Linked DNA regions of Diceros bicornis minor. The protein of the gene in region 1 purifies or fractionates together with the protein of each later gene. This does not show direct contact. Links are inferred from orthologs where the notes say so. Each region holds a gene or a part of one and is shown on either strand. Other genes may lie near its edges.

Region 1 (7,013 bases):
TTTTTCACGTGTATTAATCTTGTCTCTTCAACCTGAAAATAGGGATCAAATCTTAAACCTCTTTTTCTTCCCTAAAAAATCAGCAAAGCATTGGGTCCTCAAAACTATATTTTAGAGGATCTTTGCATTTACACAAAATCCAGTTACTAAAATAACAATCTAAAAGCAACACACACACATACAATGAGTAGCTAAGCAATAAGCTGCCATAAGAATCAGACTAAGTCCTGTTGGGATGATCTTTTTTAGTTTCCTTTGATAGTTGGATCCCATAACTAATAATGTAGTTACGTTCCAGCATATGTTTTCTGTGCTTCCTGCTTTATATAAGTACTTTGTCACCTCATTTACTTTTCTGTCTCAACTAAGCATGGCTCTCAGTGGTCAGCACACGTACTCATTTCTCAACTGAATTATCTTTTCCACATTGAAGCCTCTCCAATCTTTTTATCTATTAATTTCACTGATTGGGAACCACTGTTATGGCGTAATTAAAATTCTAATAAATGGTGCTGCTATAACTACGCAGTTCTTTTACACATTCTAAATGTTTCCTGTGATTTAGCACTCTTCAAGTAAAACTGATTCAAATTAAAATGTTACAGAAATAATTCAAATCCATCAAAGCATTCACAAAAGGAAACACGATGCATTTAATAACGAAGGAGTATATGTACTTAAATTCTAAAAATTTCCAAACTCCCCAAAAGTTTAGATTTTTTAGCTTTGATCCTTTGACTTTTTATTTTGATATATTCTAAAAATTAAATTTCATTACCTTAAAATACAATCTGTTCATGTTAACATACATGTTAACTATTAACACTTTTCCCCAAAAAAGCTGAAGAAAGTGCACACATACAAATCGAACGAGTATTTATTTCATCCCCAAACAAGTATTTTCACTGATAATATATTTATATCTTTTCAGGTCACAATTTTTATATAAAAAGAAAAAATTGAGATTTTTATAAAACTATCAAAAAGAAATCCGCCAGAATGTGACTGTTTCTGATTACATTAGAACCTCTCATTAAGGGTTCTGAAATTCAAAAGATTTTTTCCCAGAGTTAGGAAACTCCATAATGTAACACTCTAGTCTCCATCACTCCTTAGTGGTACCTAACACTGCTGAGATTTTAAAGATGAACCATCAAAACGGCAGAGGAAGGCAAAAATGTCAATATACACCTTACAAGGACTGCAAGGAAACGTCTCACAATTCGAATGGAACAGAGATAGACATGAACAGTTCAGCTTTTTCCACTTCCCCATCTGAAAAAATACCAAAATAAATCTGGATGCAAAGCTACCGCACGGTTACAAAGCCCCTGGCTACCAGTGACGCCTCAGCTCTAGCGGCGCTAGGGCACTCTATTACACTCAGCCGGCCACGTGGCTGTCACAATCACAAGGAAGACAGGAGAAACAGCAGAAACTATCCTGGAAATAAATAACCGACTTCCTCCTCCAACCTCAGAGTTGGGGTAGAAGAAAGAAAATCTGTGTCATTTCTTTGTACGCTACGACTTTTTCCTGTAAGGAGAAAACGAAGTACAGCGGCTGTTTTAAAGAAACTTTAAAGCAGAAATCAGGTCCAAGAAGATCCCGAGAGTGTGCCCCAATGAATTAGATACCCCAACTCCCGCGAGCTGCGGTGGAAACAGAGGCATTCTGCAAGGGGGTAGAGTTGAGTAAAACAGGAGGCTGAAGAAGCACGCACATGGGCCGCTTTCCCCGGACTCCCGCCGTCCTCCCGGGTTCCAGACTCCCTGCTGCGGCGGTGGGGCGAACTCAGAAGGCTGCGGACCTCCCACACGCCCTCACGACCTCTCACCCTCCCAGGAGAGAGGAATGAAGGGCAGAGGCACCCACGGGCCCGAGAGCGGCGGCGAACAGGAAGTGTCCATATTGCAGCGCTGAAACACTAACTCCCACCCCAGCAAGACAGCCACCCTCGGAGGCCCCAGGGCGCCCGCTGGAGGAGGGGCCGCAGGGTGCCGGGGTCGGCCACCCCACATCCGGAACCCGCCCCTGTCCACCCCTGCGCCCCGCCGCCCCGCTGCTCAAAGTTCAGTCCCGACCGCGCTCGGCGCCTCCCCGGGCACTACCTGGCCGGGCCCAGCCAGTCCGCCTGGGGCCGGACCAGGACTCCACGCCCGGCAAGTGTCGCCGCACTCAGGCGGGGGAGGGGGCGCTGCAAAGCCTCCCGAGGGGCTTGGGGCACTTCCCCTCACAGCAGACCCGCCCCGAGTCGAGCCCTAAGCGTCACGAGCCTTCCCGGAGACCTGCACCCCTCGCCGCGGTTTCCGCCGCGCGACACCGCTCCTGGGCGGTCATTACCTCTCAGGAAAAACTCCCAACTCCTCACGGGGCCGCCCTCCCCGCAGTCGACACGCCCCGGGAGCCCACACACGACTCAAGCCGCGCGCAAGGGAGACCTCCGCGCCGGCGCCAGCTCCTCACGGGACAAAAATGTCCGGGCGCGTCACGGGACGGCCGCCTCCGCGCCCCACGCCCGGCGCCGGCCGCACGCGCTGCCTCCGCGCCCGGGAGCGGCGCCGCGGGCCGGGGCGGGGAGCGCGAACGCCGGGCGGCGCGGGCCCCGGAGAGCACCGCTCCGCCCGCGACTCACCGTCAGCTCGGCCGCCGCAGCGGGGAGGCGAAGGACGGGCAGGGGAAGACACAATATGGCAGAGCGCCACAGCTGCTCCGGCGGCTTCCAGCAGCCGCCTCCGGCGAGACGCGGCACCGAGCAGGCAGCGGCAGCTGCGGTGGCGGCCGCGGAGCACCACATCCCCCTCCCGCTCGCTTCCTCTCCCTTTCCCCGCCCTCCCCCGCTGCCGTGGCAACGCGGCGCCAAGGAGATTAGCCCCGCCCCTCCCGCCCGTCCCCGCCTCTCGCGACCCCTCGGGAGGGGGGCTCGGCCCGCCCCGCCCCGCCCCGTCCCCTCCCCTCCCACCTCCTACCGAAGGGCCGGGCCCGGGACCCCGCAGGCTGCCCAGAACAGCGGGTGGGGAAGGAAGGGGGATGCGGTGTCCGGAAGGGCGGGGCTCGCACGGAAGGCAGGGCGGAGACGTTGTAGGCTAGCCGGTTTCAGGCTGACAGGCTGGGGAAGGCGGGAAAATGGAAAGGCCTCGCCTGTCCCAGGAACGACCTATAGGAGTGCGGCGGGGCGCGGCGCGGCCTCTGAGTGGCCGAGATGGCAGGGGGCGGGGCGAAGCGGGGCGGGGCGAGAGTAGTCGCCCGGGGCGCTCGGCCCCGGGTGCCTGTTCTGGGAGCGCAGTGAAGCCCCAGCTTTTGTGGGCTTCCCCAAGCGCTTTCCGCCGTTGGCCAGGCTTTGAAAGCGCTTTAGGAACGGTGAAGCACTAATGTAAACTTAAAGTATTATTACCCTCTCTTGACTGAAGTTTTATCTGGAAACTGAGTTCAGCGTGTTTGTGGTAATAAAAAAGGACTTTGGAATCAGATCCAAAATTTAATAAGTATAGCATTTACAGAGCGCTCGCTAAGTGCTAGGGACGGAACTAAGTCCTTTACATGCATTTTCATAACCATAATGCTAAGATGGCGTTGCCAGGTAAAATACAGGAGTGCCCAGTTAAATCTGAATTTCAGATAAACGTAGAATAATTGTTTAATATAAGAATGCTCCATTTGAGATATACTTCCTCGTTTGTTTTGTTTTATTGTTTTGTTTTTTTTGTTTTTTGCTAAATCTACCAACCCTATACTAACTTACAGAATTCCCACTTTACAGGTAAGGAAACTGAGGCTTAGAAAAATAACCTGTCAAATATAAGGTAAGTGGCAGAACTAAGCCTCCATTTTACTATCACTATGATCCTGATAGTTAAGTCTCTGAATATCTATATCTACATCTTTAAAAACTAGAGTGGTGATACCTATCTCACAAATGTGTTGAATGAATTAAAAGAAAATGTGTATGAAAGAGACTTGACTGATGCATTGTAGGTGCTAACAGAAGTTCATTTCCTTCCTGAACAATGACTGTTAACTGGATATTCACTATGTGCCAGGCTCTGAGTATAAAGTGAGCTGAGTGAAACAGGCTGCCTGCCGATAATAAAGCTGTGGGGATGACAGAGATATACAAGAATTACAGGCGTCAGAATATATAAAAACAAAAATGGAAGTGTTCGACCCACATTCTACAGATGAAAACGCATTTATATGATTTATCCAACATCATCTACTAGTTCTATTTGTTTTTCATTACACTGTCCTGAAGGGCCTCACAGCTGCGTTCAGAGTAAAAGACCACAAGGCAAATGTACACTGTGCTTCAACTGAAGTAAGAGTTGCTTTATTTTCTCCCTTCACAGCGATCACCCTTGCCCCCTCATGTGGACAAATTGAAGGAAGTTCCTGGAGGAAGAGTGTAGTAGAAAGGGAGCAGAGGAGAGAAGGAAGGGAATAGTGAGAGAAAGTGGCTTCTGGAGAGCCACAGCTTCCTCAGACCTCAGTCTTGTTTTATCTCTTCTGGCCACTGTCAGAGTGGCCACTAACATAATACAGGTCTTCATCTCCTTGCAGATTATTGTACTCATATCTTACCTGATATATTGAACTTTAGTTTCTATTTTTCCTTCTAAACTCTTTTAAACTCAGGTGGGCAAACAGTCCTCCTCAACTCTAAAAGAATCACAGAATTTGAGAACTGGAAGCTATGTATACTTTAGAGGTATATCATCTAGGAGCCCAATCTATCATGGATGCAAAAACAAATCCAGAAAAGATATATAACTTGTCCAAGGTCAAATAATGAATCTACTGCAACCTAAATTCCCTCTACTGGTCATCTCTATTGACTGATTTACCACAGAGAGGCTGGGCATGTTTAAATAATCTCTGCGGGTAAGGCTCACATCTCCTAGGAAATCTGTCACACTTAGTTTAGAGTCCAGGGACACTTGTATACTTAGAGGCTATTTTAGAGGACTTTGAACACCTACCAAGGAAAAGTTCTGATTAAAAATAATGATGGTTCAGAATGAGTAACTTTTCCCAGGAGTTTTCAAAAGTAAAAAGGCTAGGAAACCAGAGCTTAAGTCTTTAGGAAAAAGAAGATCCTGGTATTTAACATCTCTTATGAAGCCTGTATTCTTCCTTCTCCAAAATACTTTAAAGGAACGTATTCAATAGTAAACTTTACTGGAAGACAAATGCATTTAAAAATATATTATTTAAGGGCCAGCCCAGTGGTGTAGCAGTTAAGTTCAGGTGCTCCGCTTCAGCGGCCCAAGGTTCACAGGTTCAGATCCCAGGCGCAGACCAATGCACCACTTGTGAAGCCATGCTGTGACAGCATCCCATGTACAAAATAGAGGAAGATGGGAATGGATGTTAGCCCAGGGCCAATCTTCTTTAGCAAAAAGAGGAGGATTGGCAATGGATGTTAGCTCAAGGCTAATCTTCCTCACACACACACACACAAAATATATATATTTAAACTATATACATATATAGTTTAAACAGTTAAAAAAATATATATATTTAAACTATATATATAGTTTAAAATGCCCTCATATTTAGGCTGAATGGTGATAGGAGCTCAAATATACATATTTATATTTTAAATGTATTTATCATTGTGTTACAAATATTTAACAAAAGACTTTTTGATCATAAATTAATGATTCCAAAAATAACCAGTTTACCAATAAGGAATGTAGACTTCAAGCACCTTAGGTCAATAACCGTGTCTTTTGCATCTTTATAGTCTAATTTCTTAGAACAGCTTTTGGGACAGAGGTGATGTTCAATAATATTTGTTAATAAAAGAAGTAACTTTCCTCAAATTATGTGATGCCAGGACTAGGATACAACATTTCTAAATATTGGTCTGCCGCTTGGGTTAAAAGGTGAAATTGTGAATGAAAGTCTAATTTTTTTTTCCTTCAAGGATCTTTTTCAATGCACTTCTTAAGAATAACTACCTATATTTTATTAATAATATCTATGTTTCTATACTCCCTGGTATTGGCAATAATTTGGACAAGTCCTCCTGCTGAGTACACTAGAACAACTTAGCAAAATATAAAAAATATCAGCTCAAAGGCACCAGAGAGCTAATACGATAGTAATTACCAGGCCATGATCTGAGCAATGATAGAGGCCCAGGGAAGTCCATTTATCCTTTCAGTGAGGGTTGCTCTGTTGAACTCTGTCAAAGCTACCTTGCTTTGGAAGAGGAAGCCAAATGGCTACATCCTAGAAGTGAAAGGATGACATCTCAGTTTCAAATCATCTCAACTCTGAGATTGGATTAGGGTAATTCCTTTGAGCTAATGCCCCCAAGCCCTTGGCAGAAGCAAACTAAAATCCTGTCTGTAGTAAAGTAATATTCTAGGCCTTAAATCATTTCCACAAACAATTTTGCAAATACAATGTCTAGTACACAGTAAGAAATAATCAGTCACACAAAGAAACAAGAAAAACAGCAGAAACAATAGAGAACAAAAACAGACCCAAAAGGGATTCAGAGAGTGAAATTATCAGACACAGATTTAAAAATAACAATGCTTACTGTGCATAAATAAAACACAAGATTAAAAATTTAGGCAGATAATTAAAATCTGAAAAATGAATCAGATGAAAATTTTAGACCCCAAAAATTCACTAACTGAAAATAACAGCTCAGTGATGGGTATAACAGCATATTAGACACAGGTAAAGATAGAATTAGTGAACTAGAAGATAAGTAAGAAGATAGTACACAGAATGAAGCACAAAGAAGAAAAAGGATGGAAAATACAGAATACAGGGAAAGTACATAGAAGATACAGTGATAAAGTTTAATATGCACATAACTAGAATTCCAGAAGAAAAAAGAAAAGACAGTATTAGGAAGAAATAATATTTGAACAAATGAATCCCAGCAGGATAAAATGTTTTTAAAATGCACACAATTGACACAAAGACAGATCAAGAAAAAACTGCTAAAATCCAAAGACAAAGAGAAAATTCTTAAGAGGAGCCAGAGAAAATAA
Region 2 (7,900 bases), on another chromosome or scaffold:
ACTGGGGCTTTGGCAAAAAAAAAAAAAAAAGGAGGAGGATTGGCAATAGACGTTAGCTCAGAGCCGGTCCTCAGCAAAAAGAGGAGGATTAGCACAGATGTTAGCTCAGAGCTGATCTTCCTCACACACACAAAAAAATAATAATAATAATATCATTTGTGTCTAGAAGTTAAACCTCCTGCTTAAACTATTTTTCACAAGTATGCAAGGGTAAACTTTAAGCCTAGAGCATGTATGAATTATGTTCAACTCGGAATTAGTAGTTCCGAGTTCAACTCGGTAGTCTCATTAATAAGATTATATTGTAAAATTCCTAATCAAAGCACCATATTAATGTGGTAATGAGAAAAATTCATGAAAGAGAATATCCACTACATGTTGGCATTTTAAACAAATTTTACATTTTCTTAAACTGGAAATCAGGGTATCCGTACAAAAACTGCCATTCACAATTCACAGCTGAAGGAAGAGGTAAGGCCAAAACACAGGCAAATACTATACAAAAATTTCAACTTGATTAAAAGGATAGCCCTTCCATGTGTACTGTGCACTAATTACTTGGTGCAAGCACAAATAAAATATCTTCCTATCTCAAAATTGATTCTGAAGAAACCAACATGTTATAGCAGGGTAAATGGGACCAAAGGCAAGTTGTGACTTACTCAGATTCATAATAAGACTGTTACTGAGCTGAGAAAGAATACCAAATCTCTAACTCTCCATTCTTTGCTTCAGTTATTAAGGTGTCATTCTTGGTGACCCTCTTCACATTGGCCTTTTCTCAAACAGCAGCCACAATAGCAGGCAAGGTCAAAAATGAAAGTAACTAAAATTAAAGAAAAAATTGGCTTCTCCCTATGGAAACTGACTCAACATTTAATAATGTGTGGTGCCCTAAAAGCTGCAAACTACTACATGGCAATCTCCAGGTCCACTTTAACTCAGTCAGGAGACCATTATCGAAACATAACTCACTGGTACAAAGCAGAGATCAAGTAGTTGAGAACGTCCTAGGCTGAGGTCTAATGGGGAGTAAAGAAGATGATCTCATAATGTCTCTTTATGATCTGTAAATCACACATTATTCCATAAATCTGACACAAGTGTCAAGATTAGGATCGAGTCAGCCTTTAAACAGGAAAACAAAAATAAGCAGCTGCCACTTTTCTGACTTAAATCTAGAAGCTGGCTTGAGATATAAAGCAGCTTCTTCTTACTTCTGGAGTGCAAAAAAATTTCAAAGTCTCTTCTTAATATTTTAGAATTTCATCATTGGGCAAAAATTCAAGAACCTTCTTCAGGCCTAATGGAATTTTGTTAATGATACACTCAAACTTTAGTTAGGTGTTTCTGAAAGTACTAATACAAAATAAATAAAGTTTTAGTAAAAAAGTATTCTTGTAAATGGGGCAGTTTAAAGCCTGAATTCAATTAGGTTAGTGTCCATATTTATTTAGATTTGTTTTAGTATTTCAGGCAAAGATACAAAATAACAACTAACAAAGAAATAAGATTTAGAGTGACAAGTTACAATCACGTCTGAAAAAGCACGATGCAACTGTAAATAATATCAATGTCCCTGAGATCACCTGTTAAGATAGAAGTCTATGCATCCCATCACTCTTTAGCTGTAACCATAAAGTCTGGTTTTACACCTAGGATATACAAGAACCATCAGATCAAACACATCAAATATCAGACTATACAAACATAAGCATAGCAAAAGAAAAGCATGATACAAAGTTAAAGAACTAGGTTCCAAAGGATTTAAACACACCCACAAAATCCAATCCAAGCTCATACTGTGCTTCAACTTAAAACTGATAAGTAACCACCAATCTTGATATCTCCCATTCCCCACTATCTACATTCCCCCTTTTATCTCCTGAATTTCTCTACTGATCTCATCACTTCTTATGGGTCTTGCGATTCTAATCTCTACAGCCTTTCCTTTCCCAGAAAGTGATACAGCACCTGGGCCCCACATTTTACTAGCTCTACAATTTAGCAATAGTTTTGTTTTGTTTTCCCTATTAGATATGAATTTTGCCCCCAATCTCCTGTACCCAGGTTTTCCTGACCAATCCTCTTGCTTTTCATTACCTCGTCGGTACTACAATATTTAGCCTCTCCTTTCTAAGTAGAGTATGTATCCCTTTTCTGACATTTGTAATCCTGGCTCATGGTTAACATCCCTTTCCTTTCCCAGAGACTGTCACCATAGCCCTAGGTCCCCATCCCCAGTCCTTATCTTCCTAAGTAAGGCCTCTTCCTTTCCGGAGTTTGTCAACATTAGTTTGGCCAAGCTGCGATTGCATCCTGAAGGCAAAAGCTCTCTCTCCTCCGTCATTCTACAAAACTACAAGTCTCCCACCAGCCCTGGCTTTCTCTCCTCCACCCTTAGATCCACCTGCATCCAGCCCTGCCCGTTTTCCCCTACCCCTACTCGCAATATCTTTCCTCCCACTATCCCGCGCTCCCCTTCCCCACTCCTGAATGCACCTCTTTCCCAGGCCTTACCCGTAACCCTGACACCGAGAAGGCCCTGTCAGCGGCCTCACGGCGTCTCTCCTCCCGGCTTCCTCCGCTCTTCAGTAACTGTCCCCACGCACCTTTCACTCCAGGGCCCCGCGCGCCACCCAGAGCCCCCTCCCCGATTAAGCTCCCGCTGTCACTTGGCCTCTCATCCACAAGATGGCGGAACTGCTGCCCCCACCCCCGGGTCCTCTCCGCAACCTCCTCCCGCCTCCCTGGAGCTGCCGTCCCGTCCCGTCCTTTCAGCCGCCCCCGCCGCCGGTCTCTGCCCAGGGTCCCGCTGCCCGCTCCTCCGGCGGGTGGGCGGCCCAGGCCCGAGCCTCAGCGACGCTGCCAACGCCACCGCCTCCACAGTTTCCCGGCCTGCCCCTTCTCCTCACCATAAACTTGAGCGCTTTCTCCTGCAGCACCGCCTCGGCCGGGTCCATAATCGCCGGGGAACACTGGGTCTGCACTCCGCCGGGGCCGCCCCCTTGGTGCCAGGCCGCAGCCAACGCAGCTCCCGGATCCCGCCTCCTCTTCCTTCCCCCCGCCCTCTCTTACCTTTCAGGCACCGGCAGGGGGGCCAGGGAGGACCGGCTGTCCTGTGCGCATGCGTGAGCCCTCTGGCTCACGGGATTTGTAGTTATGGAGCTTCCCGCAGCAAAAAGTGAGTCCACACCGCGAACTGCAACTCCCGCAGTTCACTGCGGCAGGGTCGCGGGATCGAAAAGCCAAATCTAAACACTCGCCGGCAAGCAGAGATAATCAGCTGATGGGAATCGTAGTTTACAGCCTCTACGGAGCGGCACGGCTGTCTCCGTGGTTACCGAAAGACGCCAGTGACGGCTTGCCTGGTATTTGATATCGAGATGGCGACGAGTGCCTCACCTTAAGCCCAAATACTGGAAAAAACTGTGAAAGGACTCAGAGGTCCTAGCCCCTCCCTAACTGTGGTTTTAGAGAACTGGACAGCCCCAAATTTCATATATCTGGCGTCTGCAGGACGGATTTTGACCCAGAGACGCTGGGCCTATGGGCACCTGGCAGGACTTCGCAGACCAATGCAAAATTTCAAGGTCCTGCTAAGCCATTGCTTCACATTTCTCCCGAGGACCTTATTCTCCCCCACAGCAAGTCACGGCCAGATAGAACTCGGTTCCGGAAATTCTCGATGTTTAGCTCTCAGAAAGCATGACCTGCTACTGCTAACCCTGAGAAGTGAGCCCTGCATTAAATGTCAAACAAGTACTTACAAAAGGCCTTCAATGGTGGAATATAATCGCCATCCAGCAAATAAAGCATGTAAGTATTTAGTCTAGCCTTGAAAGGGACAGTACGAATTTATTTTGGAAATTAGGTCTACTCTAGGTGGAAAAAACACTAGGGTTGGGCTAAAAGTGATAGGCATGTACAAAATATCTGAATTTATAAAATAAGTGTATTAGGGAAATTCCTTTTTACTTATAGGGAAAATTTCCATTGTAAACTATTTTATTCATTCATTCGTTCAACAAACTAAGCATATAATTGTGTGCAGACATCATCCCAAGAAATGAGGATTCATTAGTGAACATGATAGACAAAGACTTGTGGAGCTTACGTTTCTAGTATGCTGATACTTTGTCCTAGTCATCCCTATGTCCACAGAACTCAGCAGAATACCTAATATATAACAGGCTTTCAGTTGATAAAAAGTCTTACTTTTTAATTTCAAAGAAAGAGTTCTACACAAGTACAAAATGGAGAAGACTTAAAGCTCATTCGTATGAAAACTACCTGGAAGTTTTCGTAGGATTAAGGCAGGATGTGACACTGTTGCCAAAAAAGCTAAAGGAGTCCTAGGCAGCTTGAAGAGCAATGTCTAGGGAATAGAGGCTTATGGTCTTACTGGAGTACTTTGTTCAGTTATGGGCACCATGTTCTACAAACATCATATGCAGGGTCATAGCCAAGGGCAGGATAACCAAGAGAGAAAATATTGGTGGATGCTTACTCTGAAAAAAGAGCGCTTAGGAATAACACGACAACTAAATTTAAGTGTTTGAAAGTATTGAAAGGCATATGTATGTAGCTCCAGAGGGCAGACTCGGACCAGTGGGTGGGATAATGATGACGATGATAATTATCACTTCATTAGCTCTTTGTGCCAGGCACTGTATTAGGCATTTTGGCTTCATAATCTCTAATATTCATAGTAACTCTGTAAAACAGGTATTATTATCTCTAATTTACAGATGAAGTTAATGGGACTGATAGAAGATAAAGGGCCGGCCCCGTGGCTTAGCGGTTAAGTGCGTGCGCTCCGCTGCTGGCGGCCCGGGGTTCTGATCCCAGGCGCGCACCGACGCACCGCTTGCTGGGCCATGCTGAGGCCACGTCCCACGTACAGCAACTAGAAGGATGTGCAGCTATGACATACAACTATCTACTGGGGCTTTGGGGGAAAAAAATAAATGAATAAAATTAAAAAAAAAAAAGATAAATAACTTGCTCGAGTCATACAGCAAATTACGTAGTCAGGATTCTAACCCAAGTCTGCTTGACTCTAAGGCCTGTGCTATTTTCACTGAAGCACACTGCAGTGACATAGTACTCAGACTCAGAGCTTTCTAGTAATCAGAGCTGTCCTGACAAAGGAAGGGACTGCCCCATTCCTGAAAACATATAGAGGAAAACCATCTATCAGGGGTATTTTCTAGGGGGTTTCAGTTTGGGTGGGAGGTTAAGATCTTTTAAACTTTAAGATTCCATTCTGTTGAGAAGTCGTTTGTTTTACTTTGTTATGCATAGAGGAGTATGAAAATATTGACTGTTGAGGCTGGCAGTCAGTGAGGGTCCTCACTTTTTCTGGTCATGTGGAGGTAAGGATTAGTAAGGCAAATACAAGAAGTTATTGTTTAGAAGCCCAACCAGCTAGACAGTTCATATGTATACAGATTGAAACTGAGCAGGCAGGGGCTGGGTACAGAAAGGGTAAATCCTCTTTCTTGAAAATTGACCACTGTGGTCAAACAAACTGAGAAATCCAACTATGAATTACCTGTGAAGTCCCTCATATCCAACATAGTTTAGGAAAGTTTATTAGACTAGAAGTTGAGGCCTGGTTCTAGCCCATCCTTTCTCTAGTTAATTGGTTGACTTTGGGCAATTTAACTGGACCTCTTTTGTCGTGTGGAACACAAAGATCTCTGCCAACACTAAAATGGGTGCACCTCTGAGCCGACTTAAAGCTTAGTTGCTCAAGGAGAATACTGAATCATTAGAACCTTTAAAGCTCCACTTTACTGGAAAACTAGATTTCCAGCGTGAGAAATCGCAGCTACTATTGGACTTAATTTCTTCCCCTAACTTCCTAGTGTAAGACCACAGAGTACTCTGACTTATCCTTGTCTATTAGTGTCTGTATCCAGCCAGTAATCTATCAAAATGTCTCTTCCAGCCTCCACCGCCCATGGTAGCCTGTTCCGGACTCCCTTCATCTTTTTTTTGCTTAGTTCACTATATTCACCTCCAATCCAGTTCTCTGACTCCAGGCTCTCTCTGTCCTCCTCATCTGATAATCTCTTTTAGATTTCACTTTCATCACATTTCTTCACTGCTCAATCCTTTTATGTCTCTCTTATCTACTTTATCATTGTTTAAATTCCTTTGTCTGGTCTTCCAGACCTTCTTAATCTTATCCAATCCTCTCTCTCCCGCCTTACTTCCCACTTTGCTTTAATACACCCCTCTGCTTCAATCAGGCCTTTCTCCCACCCACACCTGCTCAGCACATTCCTGCCTCCTGGCCTTGGCTTGTGGGAGTCATTTTGCCCTTCTAGAAGACTTCCCTTTCCCCCTCTTTTCTACTCGTGTTTCCAGGTCTGATTTAAATCTTACTTTAAAAAAATAGTTATCTAGTTATTTATTCCCTTTTAGCGCCTTAGCCTGCTCCCTTTTCCCTCCTCCCATAGGCAATGTTTATCTTTTTGTTTGTATGGTTCTTGAAAAATAGATATTGTTTTGTGTGCTACATTTTTAACTCACAAATGTAATATTGTTTTATGTATCTCATTATGTTTCATACTTTTTGCACCCATTACCTATGGTTTTAAGATCCATTCATGTTGCTATATATGTGTACATATAACCGGTTGCTTCTAACTGCTGAGTAGTAGTCTGATGGTGTGTACCCCCCATGTTCTGCCTATCCACTGTCCCAGCAAAACTTCCAGTTCCCAATTACCCCCAATAATGCTGCAGTGATCAACCTCCTGCATGCCCCCCTGAGTGAGAATATCTTTGGGAATACATACCCAAGATCATACTTGCTGGTTCATAGGCTATGGAGGACACTTAATTGGACTATGTAGTGGCAAATTGCAGTACAGAAAGACCACAACAGTGTACACTTCCACCATACCACTCCACCACACTTGGCATTATTGGGCTTTCCACTTTTTGCCAGTCTGTATGTTTTACCTTCTCTAGGCAACCCCAACCCACAAGGATCATGCCCTTCTTTAAGCACACTACTCTGCTCTTCTACCCCCCATCTCCGTAGCATGTGATTATAACACATAGCAGGCCAGAGCCAGAAATATTCCATACATGCCTGCACTTTTTTCTCATCCCATGGCATTCCCTTTTCCTATACCTAGTGGGGTTCTCAACCCTGATTGCACAGAGGAATCATTTGAGGAGCTTTATGAAAAATATTGATGCCCAAGCTCTACCCCCCAGGTATTCTGATTTAATAGCTTTGTGGTAGGCCCTTGGCAATGGTAATTTTAAAAGATCTCCAAGTAATTCTAATCTGCAGCCAGATTTGAGATCACTGCCTTGGAGTTTAGATGCCCAGTGCCTTCTTGCTGACCTCTAGCTATCCAGAGTCTCCCTCCGTGCCCATCTTGCCTTCCAAACTCTAGAATTACCGCCCCCCCCCAAAACCCATCTATTTTCCAAGGATAGCCAGTCGAAGCTCAAGGTTGAACAGAAGCAAAGTGATTAATTGGTTTAAAACCCATCAACTATTTGAATATCTAATAGGCTTAATCCTAGGGTCAAGAGGTCCAATAGAAGTGGGAAAGGTTTTTTGTATTTTAATTGGCAGGAGAGATAATGTTTTAGTTGGAGGACTAAATAAAGAATTTTTCCCCCTTCCCCTCACTTCCTTCTCCTCATAAAAGGTCACGAGTCAATTTCCTACTTCTTTGCTGGCCCTATTGGGTCTCTGTGTTCTTGTGCCTAAGTGTAAGGAGTCATTATTAACAGTGAACTGTGATCCAGATTAGGTTCCCTCAACAGAAGCTCCCACTGTCACAGGCCAAAGCCAACCATATCTGGATAGAGCACTCAGTCTCCTTCAGGGCAGCTCTGTGGAGTGGGGATTGGGTGGGGTGAT
Region 3 (7,344 bases), on another chromosome or scaffold:
AGTAAACTAAAAAAGTACAAGGAAAAGAAAAGGAGAAAGAATCAAAATCAAAGAGAGTAGAAGGATGAAGATTAAGAAATTGGAGATACCCAAGAAGTCTGTTTCATCTCTTTAATACAGCCCGCTCTAGAATATCAAATGAAAGTTATCCTGTTAACCATTAAGTACCAAACTGGTACAGGCAGCACAATCACAAATATTTGAGTATTGAAGCTGACTCATAAAAATCTAAAAATATTTCATGCTTTAGGCTTTCAAAATGCCATCAGTTTAACCCCCTCCCCTCCTTCAATCATGTTATTTTGAAACCAATATAAAAAAATATTTTTAACCTAGTTCTGGAAACAGTAATTAAAATGCAGTGAGCACAGAAAACCACATGCAATTCGATTTTAAGGTATTATCATTCCTACATCTGATGCTAGATTTACTACATCACTTGTTAAGTACCTGTGCTATCTACGACACTAAAATACATATACATTTATGAAAAGGGTTGCCTAAGAGTCTTAACTGGTATCCCTTTGAGGGAATACCAAAATCTGCATATGAAAAGCCATTTTATTTTTTTGTGTGTGAAGAAGATCAGCCCTGTGCTAACATCTATCAATCCTCCTCTTTTTTTTTTTTTTTTTTTTTTTTGCTGAGGAAGACTGGCCCTGGGTTAACATCCGTGCCCATCTTCCTCCACTTTATATGGGAGGCCGCCACAGCATGGCTTGCCAAGCGTCGCGTCGGTGCGCACCTGGGATCCGAACTGGCGAACCCCAAGCTGCGGCAGTGGAGTGCGCACACTTAACCGCTTGCGCCCCCGGGCCGGCCGCTGAAAAGCCATTTTAAAACTGATCTAGATAACCACTAAACTCTGTTAAATTTTCTAAGAATCTCACTTTATTACGCCCTTGAAATATCTTTTCAGATCATAGACAAGTACTATCATGTAAAATCAAAACTTTTTTAAGTTATGAGCATAGGAAGCCAGTAAACGTAGGCCATAGATTTTTTTACCATACACTCAAAGACACTAAATGGAGTACATTGCACTTCTAACTCTTTTGAAAATAAAGACATTTTAGTTATTTTTTAAATGAATGGAAATGGAAGGAACACAGAACAGCCAATTTCAAAGAGGTACCAAGTTACAATTTTTCGATGTGAAGTACTCCTCCTGTTATAAGTACATGTACTATATATGTCATTCCATTCAAGGTATTTTACTAAAATAACCCACTACAAAATTTGCAGAATATCAGGCTTGACTACAATAATAGTTTGATAAATTATACTGAAAAGAAAAAATTACTTAATGAATGAAAACCAAAAACTCACAAGTGACAGTATCCCTTAGAAAGCAACCACACATGCATGCACAGACACACAAATCAGAAACTACCAGAGGTTTTTTTTCCTAGTTTTCAAGAATGCTGGAAAAGCCTAGTTCTGTGAATTATGCAAAGGACAGCAAATATTAACCTGCCTCTGTATTGATGCTACTGTACTTCCATTTCTAAAACATGCATCTTAACTCCCCAGATACCATCATCCACAGAAACCATGCAGCTTCCAACAGACTTTCAGTGTCACCATTTATTATTTATAGCATTAAATGGGGGAACTGGCTCTGATGTCACCGACCCTACCCAGTGGAATCACTGACTCAATAAACATTTTCATACTGGAGAAAATCTGGCTAGGAAAACATTTCGCTGGGTTAAGTAGATTCTTTCACCTTTCCTCTCAAGCCTAGGGTAGAAGTTGTTACTATGTCAGGAGAGATACAAAGAAACTGTCAAGGTTTCCACAGGAAGAAACCCTGGGCATGTCCATTTGCTGAGGCAAAGACTTCCTCCTCCTAACTCTCCAGAGCCCAGTTTGATTTCCCTAATGTTCAAATTGGCAGGTCATAGCTGCCATTTTTTATTTCTTCCAGCAAATCATTCACCAAGTAGCAAATTCTTCGCTTCTACAAGCCACTCTCTCATGGTCCTGTTTCTAAAAACCCCTTCTGGCTCCAAGTCCTAAGGCGGAAGGGGGTTGGGGTTTCCGTGGGGCCAGGGAGTCTGGCCTGGCTACCAATGGTTTCCAACAGAAGAGTGATCGCTTCCCCAGGGGCCTAGAATTCTCTTTCTTTTTTTTTTGGTAAGAAGAAAGAACTGGCGGCAGTGATGAGAACCACCCCTCCCCCTTCTTCCTCAATTTCCCAAAACAGCTCTGGAAAACGTGTAGTGACGGTTTCGCTTTGCGGGGAGATGGAATCCAGAGTACCTGGGGCCTTGCTATGCAAACATCCCTCTCGGCGACTAGGAAACCCTTTGTCCAAGTAGCCGGACACCACAGGGGCCCGGGAAAAAGGCCTCTTATCCGTCACAGCCTCAAACCCGAGAGCTCCCCACCTCCACCCCTGTAGGCCTATCCTGGCATCCACACAGCCCTGGGTTGGGGAGAGGGTGCTGAGACCCCTACTAGGACGCGGAGGCCCAGGCCCTGTCCGATCTCCTCCGTACCCCCTCCCACCACCATCTCACTCGGACTGAGTGGGGCTTCCAAGAGCGGGGCAGGCCTGGGATGGAGAAATAGGGGGGAAAAAAATCCCCTTCTAAAAGAAGGAAAATGAGATGCTAGAGCGAGGGGGAGCTAAGGCCACAGCATAAGCGAGCGAGGGTCGTTCGAGAGATGGGCCCGGAGATAGGACAGAGGGAGGGAGGAGAACCGAGGGGCATGGAGGGGGCCGGGCCAGGTCCGGTCTGAGATCTCGAGGGATCCGGAGGAACCGCGCCGGGCCCGAGGCCAGGGAAGGCGGGGGGTCCAGATCGGGGCCGAGGCGGCGGGGAAGGGCCAGGGCTGGCCTTGCGCCGGACGCTGAGATGGGCAGGCCCGCCCCGGGCCCGACGGACGGAAGAACGGACGGTCCAGCGGGCCGCACTCACCATGAGCTCGATGGTCTTGTCCTCAATCACCGAGTCGGGCTCCATGGCGGCCCCGCCTCGCTCTCCCCGCGCAGCAGCGAACGGCCCGGGCGGAGGAGGCGACGGCGGAGGCGGCAGAGGCGGAGGCGGCTATCGCACCCACTCTAGCTGCCAGCCCGCCCGGGCCGCCGGCAGCTCCGCCCTCCCCCTCGGCGAACGCAGTACGCAGACCGAGGACTACAGCTCCCAGCAGGCGCCGCGGGCCCCGCAGAGCGTTGTGGGAACGAGAAGCCGACACTAGGCCAATCTCTCCTGGTAGCCAGAAGCTGAATTCTGAGCCGAAAGTAGCACGGGACTGCGAATGCGGGACGTGCAAACCTAAAGGATTAAAGGATCCCTCAAGGTAGGACCTCGAAAGCGCCATGACTACATATCCCAGAAAGCCATGCGCGCGGGCTCTCCTTCCGGCTAGTTTCTCCTGACTTCCTGGCAGCCCTAGGCTACCCAGACCGGGACGGAAACTCCGCGGCACCTCTTCACTTGTCAGAGATCCTGCGTGTGCGTCCGATTTCCGCACATGCGCCGTTGGTGACCGCAGTGCCCACATGACGCCTATGTAGCGGCGCGGCTGATCCGCGAGCGCCTGGTGGTAGGGACAGGTGTTGGAGACAGATGGGTTCCAGGTGCGTTAGGAGGGGATGGTCTTGGGGCTCAGGTGTGAGAGGGGGCCAGCGAGCGAGAGAAGCTCGGGCGAGGGAGGAGGCTCTGCGAGTTTGGGCACCCCAGGAGTGAGGGGTTTACAGATTAGCTGGAGAAGAGGTTTATGGAGGTGAACTGTGGTTCTGTCTGTATGCACCACGAACTGAGGAGTTGAGAGATGAAAGGGAACCTGTGTATACTGAGCCCCTCTTACTCATTCATTCGTTCGGAAAATATTTGTTAAACTTCCAGCCTCTGCCGGGTACCAGTTCTGAACATGACAGACAAGGCCTCTATTCTCATGGAGCTTAATTCTGGTAGGGGGAAGACAGACATTAACCAAAAGAGCAGGAACACAGCTGGAGACCTGGAGACTCCTTCTAATGAATTCTGCCTCCAACTCTGTGTGAACTTTGTCAGGTCTGTCAGTGCCCTCTAACCAAAGACCACCAGGGACACACTGATAGCTGAACAAGTTGCGTTTATTACAGGTTGCAGTGAGGGACAACACACACCATGAGGAACCTGGGGCATCTCAGCAAGAGTTGTGAGGTGATCTGGGAGAGGGTTTAAGGAAGTGGGGCTTTACTCGAGATTAGATGCTGTCAGGCAGTGGGGGTAATTCTATGATTGGGCATCTCAAAAAATCTTACCTGGAAGGAGGGAATACTAGACTGAGGCTGAAACTGTAATTGGTAGAGAAGCAGGAGCCCCTCATTAGCCATGATGGGGGATGTTTGGTCATTTTTTGTGGTTTGGACAATGTTCATGTTTTATCTGTGTTCAAATATAATTAAAGAGGGATCTTGTTTTGGTCTTGATCTATCATGGTCACAGAATGGCCTCATCTGATGTTTATGTTCTGTGAAATTATGTTCAACAGAGGCCAGGCTATCATCTAGTAACATTACAGCCTGGCTGATTGTACCAGGCCAGCTTCCAGATGTCAGAGGCTGCTTTTCTCTTTCTCAAGTTGTTTGCATTCTCTGCACCTGTAAAGTGAGGGCACTAGATGGCCTAGAAATCTTTCCATTTCCAAGGACCAAGTTATTACAGTAATTTGTATGCATGCAGGACATAGTGTAGGTTCCGTGCACGTAGAGTTTGAAGTTTCATTGTCCTTGTCTGGTGCTTTCCACCAAGGGAATTGAAAAAAAACCAATAGGAAGAAAGAGCACAGAATTGGCAAGTTACTGCCACTAACTTGCTGTCTGAATTTCACCAGACCCCTTCCCCTATCTGGGCCTTGGGACATTCATTAGTAAAACAAAGGAGATAGAATTAATGACCTCTGTTTCAGTTACCTATTGCATCATAATACACTTCCCCAAGACTTAGTAGCTTAAAATAACGGTGGTTTATTATTTTTTACAATTGTGTGGGTTTACTGGACTCAGCTAGGCCTACATAGTATAAGCTGAGGTTACTCATGGGACTTCAGTCAGCTGGGAGCTCATGAAAACAGCTTCTCATCCTTTAGGGCCTCTCTTCTCCACCTGGCTTCGTATCATGCAAACTTCTGCATGGTGACTAGCTTCTGAGAGGACAAGCCTCATTGAGCAAATGCTTATCAAACCTTTGGTTGCACCACACTTGCTAATGTCCCATTGGCCAAAGCAAGTCACATGGGCAAGCCCAGAGTCAATGTGGGAAGGGACTATACAAGGTTGTGAATACAGAGAGTCGAGGTTCATTAGAGACCACCACTGTAACAGCCAACCAACACCTACCTCTAAGGTCCCAGTACTTGCCACAGGACTTAGCACATAGGGTTGGGGTAGGAGTCACAAGCTGAATATGATCCCCTAATATGTATGTTCATCCTACACCATCTTTTTTATTGATTTAAAAATTGACAGTTTCACATTTTAAAATCTGAATCTCCAGCTTCTCTTGAAAAATTAGACTGACTATATTGGATCTGCATGGCAACAGTAAGCAGGGGTTAAGTAGAAACTGCCTTCTTTATACGAAGCATGTACTTGGTAGATTTCCACTGTCACCATCACTCCCTGTTGTCTTATAACTGTGTGCTTCGTTCATTTAAGTTGTGCGCCTAACCCATGTAGATATTTGAGTTTGCAGCCTTTGGCATTGGAACTGTAGTGGAGGTAACTCAAGGTGTTGTTTTTTTTTTTTTGAAACTCAAGGTTTCTATCCTTTTATTAGAACCATATCCCACCTTCAGAGGAAAAAATACTAGTATTATTGGGTTAGATTCCAGGAGCTCAGTGGGATTAAAAAGCCATGTGTATAGTAGAAGGTTTAACCAAGCTCTATGAGGAGCAAGCTGAACCGAGGCTTATCACTGTGCTCCCTCCTCTTCTCGAACAAGAAATAGGTGCTCAGATATTTTTATTGCTTTACACTTGGTGCTAGCTTGTGATAAGATTTGGTCATAGATAAAGGCAGAAGACTTTGAGGCATATTTTCCCGCCAGTTTTTCAGATAGCTCTGCACTGGGGTTTACAAGACATGCTAACAATGAAGTGGTACACGTCCATGATCCCTTAACCAAAACCCTGAGGTCCAGATATGTTTCAGAATTCAGAATCGTTTAGATTATACAAAGGCAGTATGGGGCACATACTGTATACAAAATGTAACACTCCCACTGGGGTCTAGGACAGCACTGCATAACCAAATGCATTGTTTTTCCTGCAGCGGAACATATGTGCACCTGTTATTAATTTATAGCCTCTCAGCTCCAAATCCATCCTTCTTTTCCGTGCTTTGAAATACTGGAGTGGAACCCAGTATTTATTTATCCTCTGCCAGCTGGCATAATGTTTAACTTTGTCAATAGAGAGCTCTAGAGGAACACAGCTGAATGAAGAGTATTCTCTTCCTGGTTCCAGTATACTTTCTTGTCCTTCTTGCCTTTGTGGCACACGGCACCAAATGGTTTGCAGAACTGTATCCTCCTGTCTTCCACACGGGTGGCTGGGACGTCCAGAGGGTGGCTTCCCACCAAGTTCAGTGGCACCTCAGCAGGCAGTTTCCTGCTTGCCAGCCCCGATCTGTAGCATAGCAAACTTCACCATCCAGTGGGCCATAACTACCCTCTCTCCAAGGAAGTCTGAATCTCAGCCTAGCAGTGAGGGTGGCCGGGCTCTTCCAAGTTTGTTGCTTCCTTAGGTACTCTGCCTCAGGCCGCTCCCTATAACTGCTATTTCTGTATTCTTTAGAGTTGTCTTTACCACTTAGTACTTAGTACTTTGTTACTAATTAATAATTCTTTGTATTAAACTTTAAGAGAATATGGCAGATGTGAGGGTGTGAGTTCCAAGACAAGATCATAAGAAGTGTTGTGGCTTCCTCACCGCTCTCTCTTTTGGGTTACTTGGGGAAGAAAGCTGCCATATCCTGAGGACACTCAAGCAACCCTCTGGAGATGTCCACATAGTAAGGAACTGAGGCCACCTGCCAACAACCAGCACTTACTTGCCAGGCCTGTGAGTGAGCCATCTTGGAAGTGGCTCCTCCTGCCCCAGTCAAGCCTTCAGATGACTGTAGCCCCATTCAGCATCTTGACCTAATGAGAGACCCTGAGCCAGAACCACCTGTCTAAGCCCTTGCTGGATCCCTGACCCACAAGAGACTGTGTGAGATAATGTTGCTTATTTTAACCTGCTAAATTTGAGTTAATTTGTTATACAGCAATAGATACTAGTAGAGGCACAAAAAAAAAAAAAGAACCAATTCGAAATATTGGACTCAATGAGATCTCTTTTCATCA

The links.
Region 2: the proteins of FOXN2 (region 1) and BTRC purify together in Homo sapiens (affinity purification with mass spectrometry; 3 studies listed by BioGRID and IntAct, counting the BioPlex papers as one, with this or other methods). This does not show direct contact. The link is inferred for Diceros bicornis minor from reciprocal best matches to the Homo sapiens genes FOXN2 and BTRC.
Region 3: the proteins of FOXN2 (region 1) and FBXW11 purify together in Homo sapiens (affinity purification with mass spectrometry; 3 studies listed by BioGRID and IntAct, counting the BioPlex papers as one, with this or other methods). This does not show direct contact. The link is inferred for Diceros bicornis minor from reciprocal best matches to the Homo sapiens genes FOXN2 and FBXW11.

Annotation. Positions count from the first base shown.
Region 1 is NC_080751.1:37,249,460-37,256,472, forward strand, and holds the start of FOXN2 (forkhead box protein N2), read right to left. Parts: upstream 3,043-7,013; 5' UTR 2,970-3,042; intron 2,773-2,969; exon of another isoform or gene 2,636-2,772; intron 2,447-2,635; exon of another isoform or gene 2,344-2,446; intron 1-2,343. UniProt on the Homo sapiens protein: Binds to the purine-rich region in HTLV-I LTR.
Region 2 is NC_080745.1:66,481,074-66,488,973, reverse strand, and holds the start of BTRC (F-box/WD repeat-containing protein 1A), read right to left. Parts: upstream 3,041-7,900; 5' UTR 2,964-3,040; coding exon 2,916-2,963; intron 1-2,915. UniProt on the Homo sapiens protein: Substrate recognition component of a SCF (SKP1-CUL1-F-box protein) E3 ubiquitin-protein ligase complex which mediates the ubiquitination and subsequent proteasomal degradation of target proteins. Recognizes and binds to phosphorylated target proteins.
Region 3 is NC_080740.1:85,984,134-85,991,477, forward strand, and holds the start of FBXW11 (F-box/WD repeat-containing protein 11), read right to left. Parts: upstream 3,082-7,344; 5' UTR 2,973-3,081; coding exon 2,928-2,972; intron 1-2,927.